4 linked regions of the Drosophila melanogaster genome follow. The protein of the gene in region 3 interacts with the protein of the main gene of each other region in a pairwise test. Each region holds a gene or a part of one and is shown on either strand. Other genes may lie near its edges. The genes, in order: CG5386, CtsB, Sec24AB and CG10591.

Evidence for each region.
Region 1: the proteins of Sec24AB (region 3) and CG5386 interact in a two-hybrid assay, tested with the Drosophila melanogaster proteins (one large-scale study listed by BioGRID).
Region 2: the proteins of Sec24AB (region 3) and CtsB interact in a two-hybrid assay, tested with the Drosophila melanogaster proteins (one large-scale study listed by BioGRID).
Region 4: the proteins of Sec24AB (region 3) and CG10591 interact in a two-hybrid assay, tested with the Drosophila melanogaster proteins (one large-scale study listed by BioGRID).

The regions. Positions count from the first base shown.
Region 1 is NT_033777.3:22,340,718-22,343,899, forward strand, and holds CG5386 (uncharacterized protein), read right to left. Parts: upstream 1,535-3,182; 5' UTR 1,498-1,534; coding exon 1,412-1,497; intron 1,321-1,411; coding exon 823-1,320; intron 754-822; coding exon 573-753; 3' UTR 519-572; downstream 1-518.
Region 2 is NC_004354.4:13,779,302-13,784,023, forward strand, and holds CtsB (cathepsin B), read right to left. Parts: upstream 2,870-4,722; 5' UTR 2,629-2,869; coding exon 2,509-2,628; intron 2,433-2,508; coding exon 2,172-2,432; intron 2,026-2,171; coding exon 1,858-2,025; intron 1,350-1,857; coding exon 876-1,349; 3' UTR 546-875; downstream 1-545. Other genes in the region: amrt (amaretto), read left to right, coding at 3,198-3,872.
Region 3 is NT_033778.4:9,876,318-9,884,335, reverse strand, and holds the start of Sec24AB (secretory 24AB), read left to right. Parts: upstream 1-1,978; 5' UTR 1,979-2,153; exon of another isoform or gene 2,154-2,940; intron 2,941-3,119; 5' UTR 3,120-3,143; coding exon 3,144-4,640; intron 4,641-4,701; coding exon 4,702-4,828; intron 4,829-4,892; coding exon 4,893-5,392; intron 5,393-5,451; coding exon 5,452-5,677; intron 5,678-5,781; coding exon 5,782-6,404; intron 6,405-6,459; coding exon 6,460-6,692; intron 6,693-6,745; coding exon 6,746-6,843; intron 6,844-6,896; coding exon 6,897-7,035; intron 7,036-7,098; coding exon 7,099-7,210; 3' UTR 7,211-8,018. Other genes in the region: CG1513 (uncharacterized protein), read left to right, coding at 130-251, 334-439, 493-579.
Region 4 is NT_037436.4:5,598,024-5,601,355, forward strand, and holds CG10591 (uncharacterized protein), read right to left. Parts: upstream 1,670-3,332; 5' UTR 1,635-1,669; coding exon 1,598-1,634; intron 1,537-1,597; coding exon 635-1,536; 3' UTR 534-634; downstream 1-533.

The sequences.
Region 1 (3,182 bases), on a different chromosome or scaffold from region 3:
GCAGCTCACTCACACAGACGCCCCACAATTTGCGAGTCGCACTCAACGTGAAGTGTTTTGTGCGGTTTTTTCGTGTTGCATGTTTTATATTCGTACACATATATTTTTAGAAATTGTTTTTAGTTGAATGTTTTACTTTTATGCTGAGTTCGGTGACAGCTCGAAACGAGTCCTGGTGGGCGGAGGTCCTGCTAGGCCGGAGCAGGCACGCTGACAAATAAGTCTCATACGTATTGTTCGAGTTCTTTCTGGGCTTTGGGAGATTGGAAGCCAAATCTGGTTACGGATTAGAAAAAAAAATTCTAGAAAAATCTAGAATCTGTTACATCTGTTTATTCAAGGTTATTCAAAATCCTCGAATTTAATAAAGATATTTTCAAAAAAGCCAGTTCACTTTTTTTGCAGTAACTGACACAGCTGCTGCTCTCACATGAATGAATATTGAGTACACACACACACATGTGCACGGCAACCAATACACCCATGCGATCGGCCGCCCCAAAAGTATGCAACACTTTGCCCGACTCTCTATGCGCATCTTTATTAATTATGCCAGCGATTTAATTAAAAACTTAACCAGCTGTCGCCTTGAGCGCCGCAGCACTGAGCAAGGGGATCGTCTCCTGGCCACCCGAAGGAGGCGGACATAGCGCGGGGGGCGTGGCTTTGGGGCTGGCAGGAGCGGCAACTTCCGACGGATTCCTGCCGAGTTGGCAACTTGCTGGCGCTGCAGTTGCCGCAGATGGGTATGGGCTAATTAAAATGCATTGTTTAATGCAAATAATGGATTATATAAGTTGGTAGTTTTCAGTGTTTACTTACGGCGGGTGGCTCTCGACTCGTGGCGCCCAAACGGCTGCAGCTGCGGCTGGCGGCGCCTTAACGACTTTTGGCCCGACTCCTCCATATTGTTGTGCCGTCTGAATTGGCTTTGGCTGGAGACGCAGTTGCTGGCCTGGTTGTTCAGGTTGCACATTGACGCCATTGAACCCGGCCAATATTTGAGGTGGTTGACCCGCGGCGTTTTCATAAACAAAAAAGTGTTGCCCCTGTTCCTGTTGCGGTTGATTTGTGGCCTGTTGTTGCTGCCATTTTGGTTGCTGTTGTTGGTAGTGTTGCTGCTGCTGCTGCCGTGGCTGCTGATGTTTCTGCTGCTGCTGTGGCTGCTGCCAATTTGGCACAGTTTGGCCCAGTAACTCGTGCAACAATGGCGCCAACGCTTCGCTGCCCGTGATTTGTTGCAGATGCTGCTGGAGCGCGGCTTCCTCAATCTTCTGTCCCTCCGCCCGATTGATGCTCAGGATGCCGGTGTTGTGGTGCCTGTAAGCAAATAGTTTGCTCAATAGATTGACCCGCTAACCACCACCCACACACTGGGCGAGATTCATTCCAGCACATTCACACGACCTACTTTGTCAGCGGCTGTGCAAATGTTTGCGAAACAACTCCCAAACAAACCAGCGGCAAGTGGAGCAGAACGAGCCAATTTGGATACATATTTAAAGACTTATTAGTGCCAGAGACCTTCCACTCGAAACTCTCGGTGAGAACTAACTCCGGCTAACTAACTTCACACATCAAATATTCTCCGATGCCATGGATTCTAATTGGGAGATGCTTGCTTTTGCCTAGGCATTCGATTAGGTTTCTTGTTTTCGGGCATTAATTATTTCGAAGCTAATTATACATGCACATTAATATGCAAATATTATGAAGTGTGAACATTTTGATGTGCCCCATTGGTTTCGGTATGATAATTACCAGTTCGGCTTTACAGATCCAACTGGAGGCCCGACAGCGGTTCTCGATTGAGTGGATCTCAATTAGCCGGCTACAAAAAATATGACTAGCTAATTGGCTTAATCAAATAGTAAAAATAAGCTAATAGAAACTAAATAGTAACGTTATACCTCTCTTAAATTGATTAGAATACATTTATTCATCTAAATAGTTTACTTCTTATTGGTAAAGTTTAATATTTTAGCTTTAATAAGAAATATGTTTTTTATAATAAGCTGCCTTTCAGCTGCTGTAAATGCCTCCATAAGTTATATGATTATGTGCTTTCAACAAAAAGGGCTCTTAAACTCAAATCCATAAAACTACGCTTCTCAAACTGTTGCATTAACATACGAGCCATTTCAAAGAGGTGGCCATAAATCCAAGCTAAAATGTCAACCGTCTGGCAGTGACTGTCAAACTGTAAAGTGGCCCTTGGCTTCAGCTCCCATTTTCCGCTCTCCGTGGATGTGTGGCAAAATGTTTTTCCATTAAATTACAATTCCCCTTCTCGGAAAATACCCCCTCCCCTCTACCCCCTCATCATCGGCGGCCTTCGTCGACCAGCAAAGTCATGAAATTTAGTGTTGGCGGCATAATTAGACCATCAATTGCGGAAAACTCATGACAGTCATGAATGGCCGACTGTGTGCATGTGCCTGTGTTGGTGGGCCAAAACCACATGGGCGGGGGGCGTGGCCAGGGGCCTAGGCACACTCTGGAATAAAGTAATATGTGCTCCAAGCATAAACTCATCAGAGTCGGAAAAGCTGACAGAGATGAGAGGACGGCAACAGCAACAAGAGCAGCGCCAACATTACACAGTAAAAAGCAACTTAATTAAAATATCAGTTGAACATCATAATAAACAAGATAGTTTCTATCGAAATATTTGATATATTAAAACCTAAGTAGATGATCAAATGCGAGTTCATAGAATAGAGTAGTAGTATAAACTATTACATACAATTTGAATATTTATTCCAGTGAAGCAATGGCAGCCACAAAGGGCGGCCTGAATTTCAACGATGGACGGGACTGTTGCACACAGAGGCAACAACAACTGGCTGGACTTCAGCAACGATGGCCACAATAAAGTCGGAATGTAAAGCACAAATGCTACTTTGGTTGCTCATAAATATTCACTGGAATGTATTCGTCCTCCTCCGCATTTAGCCGTTGTCCTTGTGGCTTCGCTTTCATTTTCCACCGCTTTTCGGCCGAAAGGCGCAAAAGTGTGAAATGGCCGAGTACGAGAGTGTTCATATATATATATATTTTCTATTTTTATGACGATTTTTCGGTGACTGTTTTAGCCAGCCGAGTGTGAAAGTTAAGCACATAAATTACAGGCGAGCGCCGCCATAGGAATTAAAAGCACCGTGCACAGTGGCCGAAAAACC
Region 2 (4,722 bases), on a different chromosome or scaffold from region 3:
TAAGCTGTTTGTTAGAAAAATATCGAGTTTCGGTGAATAGAAGAGTGGCTACAAAACCAGTCAATCAATTCACAGAAAATCGATAAGAGAAGCGGTTGGTTCATGACAAGATAACAAAAAAAAAACTGAAAATACAAAACAAATGTTCTATTTGATGTTGCAAATGAGAAAAATAAATAAAACATGTTATGTGAATAAATATGTGTACAATTTGAATGGACATTTGGTGCTGCAAATTGTGGGCAGCTTCAACGAGATAAGTTTTACATATGTATGTACATATATGTATGTATGTATGTATGTATGGCCAAGCTAACTAATGTAATAATAAATTAACTCAACAAAATCGCACCAAATGACGAATGCGATTGCAAGCTGTACTCTTTGTTTGATTAATCAAATGCGATGCTAATCACATTTATAACTCGCAAAACATACAGCTAGCCAGTTTAACGATTGAACGATTGACGGCGTTCCATTTAAATGTGTGTACATAGTATAGAGGATCAGATACTCTCTACTATTAATCTCTACTATTAAATAAAAAAGGCATAGCTACGCTAAACAATAGTTTATAGTTGGATAGTTATAGCATTGTTTCACAAATAGTATTATTCGCTTTTAATTATATCTGAGTTCCAGTTTGATAATCATTTTCTTTTTTTTGTTTGCCTTGTTTCTAGTTAGAGAGGTCCCACTGTATACGAGCAAAGTACAGTTCCACAGTCATATACAATACTTTATTATCAATCAGGTTTAGGTTGTTTACATTAACTACAAACGTCAGTTGCGAATCGGAATGAAAATAAAAGGAGGGATGATAGAAAATAGAGGGGTTTTGATATATCAGCTTGATGCCGGAATACATATAACATTTACAGCTTGGGCAGACCCGCCGAAATGGAGCTCTCGATGCCGCAATGATCCTGGCCACGCAGGATGCGGAAGAAACCATGATCGCCCCAATCGGTGTTCCACGAGTTACCAATTAGCCAGTACGGAATCTTCTCCTCGCCCCAAACGCCCCAGCCCAAAATGCGAATGGCATGACCGCCCAGCTCCTTGCCATGCTCGTGCTGATAGACACCGTCCTTGTACAGAATGAGATCCTCATAAACGGTGAAGGCGCCCTCAACCGGTCCATTGGTCATGATCTCCTCCTGAATTTCACGCACATTACGCCTCACCGAGTACGACTTGGAGCCGAAGTGCTTGTCCTTGGCATAATCGACGGTGTAACCGCTCTGGCAGACGTGCGAACACTTGGGCGTTCTACCGCCATGGGCACATGGTGGTCGGGTTCCATTCACATGGTGCTCACAGGGAGAAATCTCGTAAGGACGGCAGCCCTGCAAAATAAGTGCATATTAGAATCGTTTTTTCTTCTGTTTGCCTTACTATATCTGGGAAATGAGTTAGTAGCAGCTAAAACTTATCGTTGAGGATGTACGCGAATCTGGAGTGCATTCACAATATATGCATGTATATCTATAGATGTTCGTATATGATATATATACATATAGCTTTGTGTATATGGATGTTTGTATATGATATACTAAGCCGCTTTCTAGCGATATCTGTGGTATACAATTTTTTATGGCGTCGTAAACTGAGTCTTCAGTTCACTTCAAGTAAACAAAGAACAAAATCAAGTTGCTTTCTAACTATTTCGGCGTAGAAATACAATATGTACAAATACAGGTTATTTTTGCACATAAAGTATGTTTTTCTTCGTTAGAAAACAAACCCTTTTTTTTATTGGAAACTCATCTGCAAGCAAAACCAAATTGCAAGCCCTTTTAAACCAAACTAAATATGATTTGCAAAATCCCATTAAAGCAGGAGAAGATCACCAACCTGATTAGATCCGTAGGGTCCTCCGCTGACGATTCCCTTGCGCGTCCAGTAGCTCCAGGCGGCGCCGGGGAAACCGCCATTGCAGCCAAATCCGCAGGTGTGGCAGCAGGAGACGAGATCATCGGCCGAAAAGTGGAAATTCACCTTGCCGCCGGAATGGATGCACACCTGCCCATTGCGAAATCAGTAAAAAAAAAAAAATCATTGATAACAAATACAAAAAGAAAATAATAATAAAAAAAAATGGGGAAATTTATCAGCTGGACAAACAAAGAATGGAAGGGGTTATAATATCGATAAGGTAAGCTACGTACGCGATCGGACATGGCTTCCACGGCACCAAAGGCCCAGCAGGAGCCGCATGAACCCTGGTCGCGAATCTCGCCAATGGTTGGGCAGTTTGGCCATTGCTTGCGGGAATCGAACTCTTCGGGAAGTTCGTCAACGCTATTCACGTATAGATCGCCAAGAACTTCACGCTTGTCGGGCAGTGCGAACTTGTGCGCATCCGGATGGACGCCCATCAGGCGGCGAATATGTCCCTCCGTTACGGATGCATCGAAATTGCGACCCACCTGGCGGATAGGAAACGGGAAAATGCAATTTTCTTGTCACGTCAGCAAGAAAAGGGTTGGAAACAAAGGAATTTACCGTCCAGGTTTTGGCCTTACTGCGCACCACCTCGATGAACTCATCCGAGAGCAGTGACGGCTCACCGGACGTGAGTGCCGCCACGGAGGCCGCGGTGGCCACCAGGAGCAATAGATTCATTATTCTTGTCCAACGAATTTCCAATGCGCTGACACAGCAAAATTCAAACAAATCACAGCAGTAAAATGGTGGAAAATGACGCGTCGTATTAAGCGGGCTCTCTGCTCCGTTCTTGTTTTCGTACTGCCCGTGAAATTCGGACGGGTAATGCTCTTTAAGCGTCTATTATTCTCTTGTTTTTGTTCTGTCGCACAAAAAAAAAAAAAAATGGTTCGCGCCCGCTGATTACGCGGCCAGTGTGTGCACACCAATGCAACAGGGCCGTTGCCTATCGAATGTAGAGATGGGCGCGTGATTGGTAACTAGTCTGAAATAAATAAACGCATTATACTAAATAGCACTTCACTAAATGTACTTAACTAAAGACTACGATCACACTAATGCCAATAAATATGCTAAGGAGCACTGTTACTTGAAAGGTGGTTTATTTGCATTTATTTATTTCCATTCGTTGTCGTGGTGCTTAAAATCAGAACTATCGGTAGGCCATCGCAGATAACAGAGCTCTGTTAGCTGTGCTAAGGTGTGGCCACACTGGCTAGCTATATTTTGATAAGGAGCTCGCAAAGATGCGGATTTTCTACGGACTACTGGCGTTCCTGGTGGCCAGACAACACGATGCCCAAGCGATACAGGCACGCAGCGACAAGGAGCAGCCGCAGACTGTGGTCTCCGGCACGGCGGTGCAATCGGTGGTGCCCGTTCAGGCGCAACTGGGCTCCGGCATGGGACCCTCCTCATCGTCATCTTCGGCATCTTCCGCCTCGGGCGGAGCTGGAAACTCGGCCTTCTATCCACTGGGACCGAATGTGATGTGCTCGTTTCTGCCGCGCGACTTTCTCGATTGCAAGGATCCCGTCGATCATCGGGAGAACGCCACGGCGCAGCAGGAAAAGAAATACGGATGCCTGAAGTTCGGTGGTTCCACGTACGAAGAGGTGGAGCACGCCATGGTCTGGTGCACCGTGTTTGCCGACATCGAGTGCTACGGTAATCGCACCTTTCTGCGCGCCGGAGTGCCCTGTGTCCGCTACACGGATCACTACTTTGTGACCACACTGATCTACAGCATGCTGCTGGGTTTCCTCGGTATGGATCGCTTCTGTCTCGGTCAAACGGGCACGGCTGTGGGCAAACTGCTTACCATGGGCGGCGTGGGCGTTTGGTGGATCATCGACGTCATCCTCCTGATCACCAACAATTTGCTGCCCGAGGACGGCAGCAATTGGAATCCCTATGTCTAGACGTGTGTGATATGCCTCTGTGTCATAGCTTTAAGTAGTTAAATAAGATTAATCTTGTTCACTGATTAATTCGTAGTGTTAGGAAATTAAATTAACTTGCCCCTTATTTCATTATAAATACCTTTGTTATAAAATCATTGAAATTAATAATTTCATACATATCTATTAGATGTAAAGTAAGGATAAATAAATATTTAGAAGTACAGTTAAATAGTTTTTATATGCCTAAGACAATCAAATGACTGCCTCTTAAACCAATTGTTTTTTTAGCTTACACCAAAACTACAGCTTTGATCCGTGCAAAAATGCCCGCATAGCATCAAAAGGGACGTTTTGACTTTGCACAATCGTTTTTATTTTTAATTTTAAAGTATATTTTGTTCAATTCGAATGTAGCGCCACAGCTGTTCCAAAATTTGTTCAGTGGATCCATTGCATTTCCGACAGCTGCTTTCCATTGGGCTATCGTTATCGTATGATGGCTATCGTCCTTCGCCATCGGGAAATGGAAATCGAAAGTTTCGCGTTCAAACTCGAAAGTCAGTTGCAAGAAAGCTCGCCAACCGCGCGGTCAACGGAGACTGGCTGAGCTGAGCGGGCGCTTTCTCTTTTATTTTTCTCCATTGACGACGCTGCGTGCGCGTCGCATCTCTCCCGCAAGAAACGGCAACAACAATAAGCACTGCGCGGTGCATAAATAAAACAAACGAAAATATATAATTGTTAGCCGGGAATTTATGCAAAATACACAAAAATAAACAAGACAAAAAAAGCAAACTAGTGATGACAGGCAAAAGTTATAACAGTACTTAAATCGCGGCACAAGAACGTAAACACAAAGTCGTGTGTG
Region 3 (8,018 bases):
GATTGTCCAACGTTGTATTCAAATTGTTGCTATCTGTACTTATATATGATTGCTGTGTGTTTAATATTACACCCAATCCCAATCAGTTGACCACATAGTGAATCTGAATGAATCTCTTGAATTTTCTAGAAAACCGAAGTATTCGTCGACGTAAATCGCATACCCATATTTAAGAAACAAGTTCGACCAATCGTTGAGCAGGATGAGTACGAATCGCGACGCGTTTGGAAGGAAGTGACAGCGGGACTCAAGTAAACAGCATACCAATTAATTCCTGACCCCCAATTGCGAGTCATGATAAATGTAATCTCTTTGTTCGTTGCTCTTCCACAGGTTCAATGACATCGAGCGCGCTACAACTGCCAAATTCGTTGTGGAGCAACAGCAGCGTGATCAAGCCAAGGTGCGCAAGGAATACGATCTGGCCTGGGAGCACAAGGTACGTCATCCCGATATAGGGTAAAACAGTTAACAGATAATATTCGTTCACAGCACTTTAAGCCCGTGGGCGACAACTGGATCTACGCCAAGCCGCTGAGTCAGCGCATGTATCTGCAGGAGAAGGAGGCCAAGAGATAATGCCTCCGACTGACAACGAGAGCAACAACACCAAAAACGTCTATATATATGGATCATATCAAGAACGAGCCTCAACTATATGTTTAATTCCACAAGTGCGCAAACCTCTCAACACTGACGATACAACGTAACGAATGCAGGAAAAGTTAGAGCAACAACTGAACTGGCAGAAGGAGATCCATGATGGAGGCTCCAGGGTCTGGTTATTAATTGTAAATAATATACACAGAGAAAAAGAAAGGAGTAAAGCTCTGCTCATTAGGTTGGAACGCGAGTCAAGCTCGACAGCTCAGCGGAGACAGAAAAATCAAACACTCACAGTTTCTATACAGAATTAACGATTATTATTTACTACTAAGTACTAGTGTGTTTCAAAGGCAATCGCAGTAAACTGCAACACAATGACACCTATTCAATACCTTTTACATTACTAACATTTACTAACTAGCAACAAAGAAAGAAATCCAATACATAATGGGATATATCAAAAGTTGTAGATTACAAAATGATAGTTACTTAAGGATAATAGAGATTCTATTTTTGAAATAAAAGACTCTGCTATAGACGAAATACAATACCGACACGCTAGTATCCGACAGATACTGCACCCTCGCTTCTTTCCAAGACCACAGGACAGACACACGGACATAGAACACACGGTGCACAATGATTTTCCAGTCGCATAGCTTATAAATCAAATACGATTACCTTTAGTATTATGTTTCGAATTCCACTTGTCACAATAATAACAATAAAGCTTTACCAAGAGTCCGCTGGTGACACACCTTTACACCTTACTGCAATAGAACCCAATTGAAAACCGAACTCCTAGACACGTTGAATAATAGACATTAAATTTAATTTATAACTTTATAACTTACGAGCCAGGAAGCAACACCACCCACACAGCAAATCTACCGACTACTCTCACGCAAAGTTAACGCAAAATGAAACGAATAAAGTAAATACGCTTCGAAATTGATTTAAAGTAATATTTAACGAACTAGTTACCCCGTAGAATAAAAGAATTGTAATCCCAATGGCATTAATTGGAACTTATATCCAAGCCCGGGGAAACTTGTATATATTTTTGCGATTTTCTTTTTAACCAACGTGTTAATTGAGAAATTGAGCTACTCCCAAGCAGATACAAATATTGCAAATAAAGCGATTTGTTCTTTAAGCAGTTTTAATGGATTTTGGATTTCGGGCTTACGAACATTTAAGCTCATATCATTAACAGAGTTATATATAATATACATTGCTTGTCTTCACTTAATAAACATTGCGTTAAGTTTTAAATTTGAATTGTTACAAAAATAATGTTACCATTGGTATCGATAACATTTTATTTGCAATCGATAGGCGACCCAGAGCACTGTCATCTCTTTTTTAAAACCAACGGTCACACTATTGACGTGGCCTCAAAATTTTTTGTTCTCCGGAAAATGCAAAAAGTTTGCATTTAAGTTAATTGTGCATAGCAGCGTACGACGCCAAGTCCAAAGAATCCGCCTGCCAATATAGGACGTGTTCGCATCCATCCGGAGCACGCGAGGAGCGCTTGAAATCGTGTAAGAAAGAAACTAGTGCGGAAGGAAGTTTTGGGAGTGGAGAGAGCGTAGGGAAGTGCGAAAATCGTTTAATTTTCGTTCGCGGAGAAAAATCCAGCCAAGGATTTCACAAAAGACCAGAACAAAGAGTACAACCAGTGGTTTTTACAGCTGCATCCGCCCTTTCCTCACAACGAAAGGCGGAAAAGCTAATTCATAGTCCGCAGCAAAATCGCCAATCAAGGGCGCAAGAAGAAGAGGCAACTACAAAGTGCAAGTGCTGGCCGAGGAACTTCATGCCAATGAAAACTGAAGCTCGGGAAGGTGATAAGTGATTGGTAACCGTGTTATGGGCACTACATATGCCTTGATTGCCCCAATTTCTTTGAGTGGGTGGTGGGCGTGGCGGGTTGACTTCGCCAATAGGCACGTCATCAAAAATTTGCTTTGTTCCGGAGACAAATCCTTTCTCTTCCTGATTGCTTCCACTGCATCTGGGTCACCAATTTAACCGACCCACCTTCTGCGATCATTGATGGCGAGGTCAAGTGCTTGAGGCACGCACACTTACACGTTGTACATCACATAATAACCCATAACGACCTGCTGTCGAAGCTGTTTAAACAGCAAAATATGATATGAAATTATCACCCTATTTCCGACTTACTGTTGACGTAGACACAGTTCTGTAAACACTGAATCAAGACATTTACCTAGGCAGCCAGTCTAGCTTAAAAGTTTGTGATAAAGCTCCAATAACGCAGAATTTCGCATTCCATTCGATCACTGCAAATTCTAAACTGTCTGTAAGCGGGGAAAAGCATCCCGCTTTAAAACTTTACAACTTTTATCAGCCGCACATTGTTTCATGTTACGCGCTTTTTAACATTGAACGATAAGATAATTCCCTGTTTCATGTCGGCAGCAACGCAACCTTCGCTAGTGATAAGATAGCAACTAAACAAAATGTAATTCTTCATCTTTCAGACCACAAACCTATGAATTAGCAGCATGTCGACTTACAATCCGAACTTCGTGCCTCCCGCCCACGCCCCTATGCCACTGAACGGAAACAATTTTGTGAATGGTGTGCAAGGAAGCGTCCAGCAGCAGCCAGGTCCTCCACCTGGTCAGCAGTATATACCACAGAAGCAGCCACAACAGTTCCAGCAACCACCTCCTGCAGCAGCTTTTCCGGGAGCAGGAGCGCCAGGTAATGTGCCACCGCCGCAGCAGTTCAACAGTGGTATTACGAACCAGTTCTTGCCGCCCACGTCAGGAGCAGCTACACCTCTGCAGCAACTGCCGCCCAGCACGCTGCCGCCCCATCTGCGTCCGCCCGCCGCCAACGGACCACCCCTTACGAACGGCAGCAATGGGGCGTCCAGTGCGAACTCTTCGCGCACTGCATCCCCAAGGCCAGTAGGAGCTGCCCCTCAATATGCTCAAGGACCAATCGCTGCAGCGTTGAACAATCCGCCCCTGGCGTCGGGACTGCGTCCTTCGCCCCAACCGACGCACCAATCTCTGGCCAACTTGACGAGCAATCTGGAAAATCTTAACTTGAATACCACTCGAGCAAATGGAGGTACCAGCATTTTGCCACAACCCCAAACCCAGCAACAGTACGCACCCACAGTAACACAAAAGGATGGCAGGGGAGTGGCCTCGGCCCAGACGGGTCCACCGCAGTTCAACGACGCCAACAGTCTGTTGGCGGCCAGCGGAGTGGCCGCTGCACTAGTTCCCAATGCCATGGCGACGCCGTTTAGTGGACAAAAGCCCCCCAATTTGGCTCCAAATCCGGCCAAAATGTTCGGAAGCGCCTCGATGGCCGGTAGACCAACACCAGCGGGGCAACGAATCCCATACGGAGTACCCCCACCAACTAACCCCGAGCAGCAGAGCCAGCAAAACAACAATCTACAGAATGCACCGCCGCCACCAAGAGTAGGAGCGGTATGGCCGCCGAGCTTACCAAATGTAGCGGCGCCGGGAGCCCAGCCCATGATGCCGCCAGCCCAGCAGACACCACAGACGTATCCATACTCCCAGGTTTATCAACCAGGACCACAGCAACAGCCACCACCTCCTCAGTCTGCAGTGCAGCCACCGCCGCCGGGAATGTTCGGAACGCAACCGACTGGAGCTCCACTGCAGTATCAGGCACAGGCGCCTCCTCAGGCTTACGGACAACATCCTCAGCAAGCACCCCAGACTGCACCCGGGGGACCTTATGGAACCACTGCTCCACTAAACGTGGCTCAGCAGGGATTCAGCAGATTGTGGGGACAGGATACTATCGACCTTATGCAGAATCGGCATATCTTAACGCCGGCAACGTTGCCTCCGCCAAAAGTGGTTTTGCACAACCAGTTTCACGAGTCCATAAACTGTAGCCCGAGCATTATGCGCTGTACGCTGACCAAGATTCCCGAGAGCAACTCTCTGCTCCAGAAGTCACGTCTGCCTCTGGGCATTGTGATACATCCCTTCCGTGATGTCAATGTAAGAATTTTATTGAAAATAATTTGATATAAAAGACTTTAACTTGGAATTCCTCACACAGAGCCTCCCTGTTATTCAGTGCATCAACATTGTGCGTTGCCGGCTGTGCCGCACTTACATAAATCCCTTCGTTTACTTCGTGGACAGCAAGATGTGGAAGTGCAATCTGTGTTATCGAGTCAACGAATGTAATTGAAAAGAGTTCCCAGCATATAATGGATTTAGTAATCCAATGTTTCTTTCTTCGTGCAGTGCCAGATGACTTTCAATTTGATCCGGCCACAAAGACATACGGCGACGTAACCCGAAGGCCCGAGGTACGCTCTAGCACCATAGAGTTTATTGCTCCTTCGGAGTACATGTTGCGGCCGCCACAGCCGGCCATGTACCTGTTTCTCTTCGATGTCTCGATAATCGCGCAGCAGAGTGGTTATCTGGAGGCCGCATGCGCCGTACTCAACCGGCACTTAGACGAGATGCCCGGTGATGCGAGGACCCAGGTGGGATTCATTTGCTTCGACAGCTTCGTGCACTTCTACAGCATGGCCGAGGGGCTCAACCAGCCGCACGAAATGACGCTGCTGGACATCGAGGACCCCTTCCTGCCACGTCCTGATAGTTTGCTGGTAAACCTAAAGGAGTGCAAGGAACTGGTGCGTGATCTATTAAAGCAACTGCCTAAGCGGTTTGCCCACACCCACGATCCGGGTTCCGCCTTGGGTGCTGCTCTGCAGGTTGCTTTCAAGCTAATGGTGAGTTGAGCTATTCAAAATTAAAGAGGAACCTTAATCATCGTGAATACTGTATACAGCAAGCGTCCGGCGGACGGATAACCGTCTTTCAATCGTGCCTTCCCAACAAGGGACCCGGAGCCTTGGAGCCGCGCGAAGATCCCAACAACCGCTCGGCAAAGGACGTGGCCCACCTTAACCCGGCAACCGACTTCTACAAGCGCTTTGCCCTAGAGTGCTCCGGCTATCAAATAGCTTGTGACCTCTTCCTGATGAACCAGCAGTACAGCGACATGGCAACCATTTGTAAGTGACTCTTAGTAATGTAAATTCAAACTGCCTTTTTGCATTAAGTTCTCTTACGAGTAATAGAGCACCGTTAACTTATTGGAGTTTCAATTTCCCTATAGCTGGCATTAGCAAACATAGCGGCGGCTGTGTACACCACTTCCCGCTCTACCAGAAGACAAAGCCACACATGGTAGAATCGTTCCGCTCGTGTTTCAAGCGCTATCTTACCAGGAAAATTGGATTTGAGGCGGTAATGCGAATCCGCTGCACTCGTGGCTTGCAGGTGCATACATTCCATGGAAACTTCTTCGTGCGCTCCACGGACCTGCTCTCGTTGCCAAACGTGAATCCGGATGCTGGATATGGCATGCAGATCTCCTACGAGGAGAGCCTCACGGACGCGAAAACGATTTGCTTCCAAGCTGCGCTGCTCTATACGAACAGCGAAGGAGAGCGCCGAATCCGTGTGCACACCGTGTGTTTGCCGGTTACCGCTTCGCTCCCAGAGGTAATGCATTCAGCCGACACGGAAGCTATTATCGGGCTGCTGTCGAAAATGGCGGTTGACCGGTCGGTCGCCTCCAACTTGTCGGACGCCCGCGATGCATTCATAAACGCTACGATCGACGTGTACAATGCCTTCAAGATAGCACAAAATCTGCCATCGGGACAGTCGGGTCAGCTGATAGCGCCGCGCAGCCTGGCGTTGCTCCCGCTCTACATCTTGGCCCTGCTTAAGCACGTGAGTTTTTTGCATATGATCTTAGTTATCACAGCTTATTTCGGTTTTCCACTAGCCCGCTTTCCGTGTGGGAACTAGCACACGACTGGATGATCGGGTCTACGCCATGGATTGCATGAAAACGCTACCGCTGGACCAGCTAATGAAGTACGTGTACCCGGAGCTGTACAAGATCGATGCGTTGATCTACCACGCCCGCAACTCGAACATTAGTTCGAACCAGGATGACGACGAGGACGAGGATGAACCGTTGCCGGAGCTGCCGCGTCTTCAATTGTCCGCGGAACAGTGAGTAGAGTTGATTTATTTTTGACCTTCGATAACGAACGCTTTAACTTCAGCTTGGACTCTCGGTCAATATTTCTGATGGACTGCGGAACGCTGATAATGATCTATGTCGGCCTTAATGTGCCGCCCGATGTTTTGGAAGCTGTTCTGGGTATGATCTTAAAACCCAACCAATTTGTGTTACTAATCTGTTTCTAATTTCAGGCATCAGCTCCACCGCAGAACTGGGTGATTATGTATATGGATTGCCAAATGTTGTGAGCAACGAGAACGATGTGCTGAAGCGTTTTATTTTGCGACTCAACTACGATAAGCCCTACTCGGCGCTGGTGCAGATAATTAGGTAAGTCGGACCACTATTAAAATATTCATAATACCTTGCTAATTATTTTATCTTAAATTAAAGGGACACGAGCACGGCCAAGGGCCAGTTCACCGAGAGATTAACCGACGATCGCAGTGAATCTAGTTTGTCATACTATGAATTTTTGCAACACATTCGGGCTCAGGTTAAATAGTATATAAGCAGGATATCCTACCACTATTGTATGCAGCATAAATACGAGTTTCTAAGAACCTAAAAACTCAGACTCTGGTGACTAGAAGCACGAAGCGAATGCAGGTGACACTGGTGCGAAACAATGGAGACCAGTTCGGGACAGACATACACTTGATACACCTTAACCACCCATCCCCTACCCACTCTCTCGGCTTAGGTAATTTTAAAGTGCATGTATTTATTTATTTGTTGATTTGTTGCACTAAAAATAAAATAAAATAATTGAAGATCATAGTAAATGCGAAAGAGCCAACTTGTCACAACAGAAACTAAGATATCGTTGCCAGTTCGTTTAGGGCGAACATTAGTCAAAAGTTCAGCTAACCAGTCAGTAGAGCTCCCGAAGAAGTGGATGGCTCCGTTATTTATTATAGAAACTATGCAATAAACCAACGAAACTGTTGTACATTATGCTTTAGCTCGATTTTTGTTCGTTCCAACTGCTTCAAACATTCTGCAAACTTCTCAGCCCCACAAATTGTTATCGCTTACCCCAATTGTTTGCTGTTTTCAGTAGTATTTATTTTCCGGAATCCAGAGAAATCTATATTTATTTATAAGTGTAAGGAAAGGCGTTTTGTTGCACTGTAGTTAGCGAACTTATTTCAAACGTATGTACGGATTTGGTATTGTGTATTGCATTCATTGGACTGCTAGGCAGTGAATGTCTTAAGCTTAGAAGGAATATTATACTGTATCAATAAAGAGACCCCATCCCTGTACCTCAGGTGGCGCAGTTGTCGTTCTTTGAGTGGGCTAACTAATCG
Region 4 (3,332 bases), on a different chromosome or scaffold from region 3:
TGTTTACCCACCGCTTCGAAGGAATTTTATTTTTACAATACCAATGACAAGTTAAATTTAATTTAAGTCTATCAAAAATTGATTAACTGTGTTATGACTGCAACTAAATTAAAATCATTTGTAGCAAATTAAACTTGATTCCAATCAAATCGATTGGATTGATACCTTTAATTCCTATTATCGTTATTGATTTTCAAAATGTTTTGATAGACTTAAAAAGCGTTAAGTACTCACGCCTATTATGCTTATAAAAAAATTTAATAGGCATCGCAATGTTATGACGATTGAATTTTTCTTGTGAATCTCACGTATTTAACGCAGATTGACTGTTGACAATTGTAATTCATAATTCTTTGGGGGATTACCCTCGAATAGGTATTTCTATTTTTATCCGTATTTATCTTATAAATACCAAGAAATGATATCGTACTTTGTTGACGAAGCTTGAACGAATAACACAAGTGCCAGCTCTACATAACAAGTCAGACAACTAAAAGATCTATAGATGAAAGACATAAAAGAGACATCTTAATACCTCTACTTCCATATCAAATGGTCATTTATATTCTTTTTAGACATTATCAGTACAGTTTTTATTAAATTATTAAACTAAATTTAATCTTAAGTTTTCCCTTCAAATGATGACTGCATATTGGTTTGAGTTACGCGGTTGGATGAGCGTGGCATACTTCTCCTTCAGTTCGACCAAAGCCCTCTGGAAGTTCTCCACGCTGCTCTCGAGCTGGTTGGGACTGAGCTGCTGGACGGACTGGCCCTTGAGTAGACCATCGGTGGGTCGCTCTCCCAGGAGGAGAATCCTTCTCCAATCGCTGGCATCGGAGCTACCTCGCAGGAAGTCCTTGCGATTGCCAACCGCAAACACAGTTTCCTCCATATTCTCGGGCAAAATTGTGGGCTGCTGGGCTCCCAGATCGCCGGGCGTGGGTTGAGTTGGTGGCACTTGGACTGCTGGTGGTGTGATCCCCGAGAGAGATGACGATGTGGGTTGCGGTGGAGGAATGGGAGCACCGGAACCTTGGTTCACCGGTGTATCGAACAGTTCACTGGGCAGATTCTGCGGTCGATCGATCTGCACCACCTGGCCATCGGGTGAAATGTGGAAGAACTGAGCGCGACCAGCTAATCCCGTTCCTGGTCCTCCTGGAATCACTATAATGTTGCCCACAGCGGTGGTCAATGCAGAGGCTCCACCAAATCCGCCACCACCTGGGGTGGAAATGAAAGGAGGGACTGGAACTCCCGGTGGCGGAAAGGATCTCAAAGGTGGAGGAGCTGGGCATGGGAAACAATATCCAGGAGGACCAGGCGGTCCTGGTAAGCCTCTAGGCCCCTGGATGAAAGGCAGATTTGGGGGGTAAGGACCTGTGGGTGGATAGCCCCAGTAGCCAGAACCACTGCCAGAGAGACCGTTCTGATTGCCAGGAGGTCCAGGCGGACCTGGAGGTCCTCGTTCCCCCTGTGGACCAGGATCACAAGAGCATTTCACCAACGAAGCCTGGGCGGTGGAGCAAAGACCTGATGGAATATATGGTATTGTAATATTGTAGAAAAATTTATAAATGTTTTATAAACTTACCAGCAACCAGAAAAGCCAAGAGTCCCAAAAAACTCATGATGTACTTCGGATTTCTCTTCAGATCGGACTGAGATCCAAAATTCGAATTCGGCTTTTATAAGCTGAAAAACTCGAGAGCTACGTTTTAATATGCATAGAAAATATACAAAATAATCTCTAGATCGAACAGAAAACACATTTCCCGCATCTCTATAACTGTTCTTAACCCACCATCGAAAGGGAAATGCTAAGCGATCAAAAGGAAAAATGCCATCACCCAGTCGGCGCAGTGACAATTATGATAATTTATGCAACAAAATATACACGAACATCATTAGGCCCGACGACAAGCCTTTAAACTGGGTCAGCAGGGTTCTCGGTTTGATTCTTGGCCAGCCAGCCGCAATCAGCGGGACAACTTCAAAAATACATCAACTGTCTATCAGGTCATAAACAGTGATCAGATTGTAGAGTTTATGTGACCAAATGTGGGCGATACCCATCAAAGTGACACCCAGATTTTTGAATTGCCTTTTCATCAAAACGGAAACTCTTCAGGGATTATCCCAAGCGCCTTTACAGTTTCCACTGCCCAGAATTAGCATAAATTACGAAATCAATATGTTTCCAATCAGTTACCACACTACCACGGCTAGAAATGAAAAGGCTCTGTAACATTTCCGACTTATCACAGAATTCCATTGACGAGACAAAGCCCACCGAAAACACGCGTCATTAGTGGACGAGTGCCCACTCCGTAGGTGTTCACTTCCAAACTAGCGCCGTTCCCTGGAACTATGATGACACTGGGCCTCTTGAAAGTCCCGATAAGCAGAGAAGTAAATCCGGATGAAGGGTGGCTTGTGGCAGCAGTTGAAACCATTCGATACACTTCAAAATAGTTGTTTACTAGAAACTGCTAATCTCAAAGGTATGTCCATAGGTTATCTTACCAAACTTCCGAAACTTTGAATTAAAACGTACTTAGTGCTGAAGGAAAATTATTCAGTACTTATACTGATAATATTTTTGAAAGTTGCTTGTATTTGAAACAACTTAAGTCATTTATTCATATAGTTGATTCTGGAAAGCTCACCAAACATTTTAGGGTATAAGACACACTGTGTGTAAACACTGCAGTGATTGGTCGTATACGTAATATAAACATAGTTCAGTTACTTGAGACAAATCGAACATCATCAGTTAACGACAAGAATCCGAAAGGCTTTATCAATGGTGTTGTCATGGAATAACCCCAAAGTACTCCATCCATCCTGTGCTCCCAAACGAAAAGAAAACGAATGGAAGTGCCAGAATTGGCCCCCTAATAAATGGGATGATAAGACCGTTGAAGTTGTTTGCCTCCCAGTAATTGGAAAACAATTTGAGGGTCAATGTTACCGAGTGAATCAAAAATAGTAAAAGTGAAACGATCTGTGTGTTCGCTGATAATGGCCAAGATGAAGGGGGCTTATACTGTCATAAACTTTTTTTTTGGTTTTATATATTGAATTTATTATTAGATTATCGACTATTGCTAATCAGCACATTTCTTGCATCGTACATAACTTAATTGGCGCAAACAAGTTCAAGTCACATTTTGTTGCAGTTGCATAGATTGATAAGTTTTCTAGGCAAACAATTCAAATAAAATACTCGATGTACACCGTATGCAACGTAACATACGCACATATATGACATAAAAGTTATCTTCGGAAATATATCAAATATTTTGTGTAAGCAAGCTTCTTAGTAA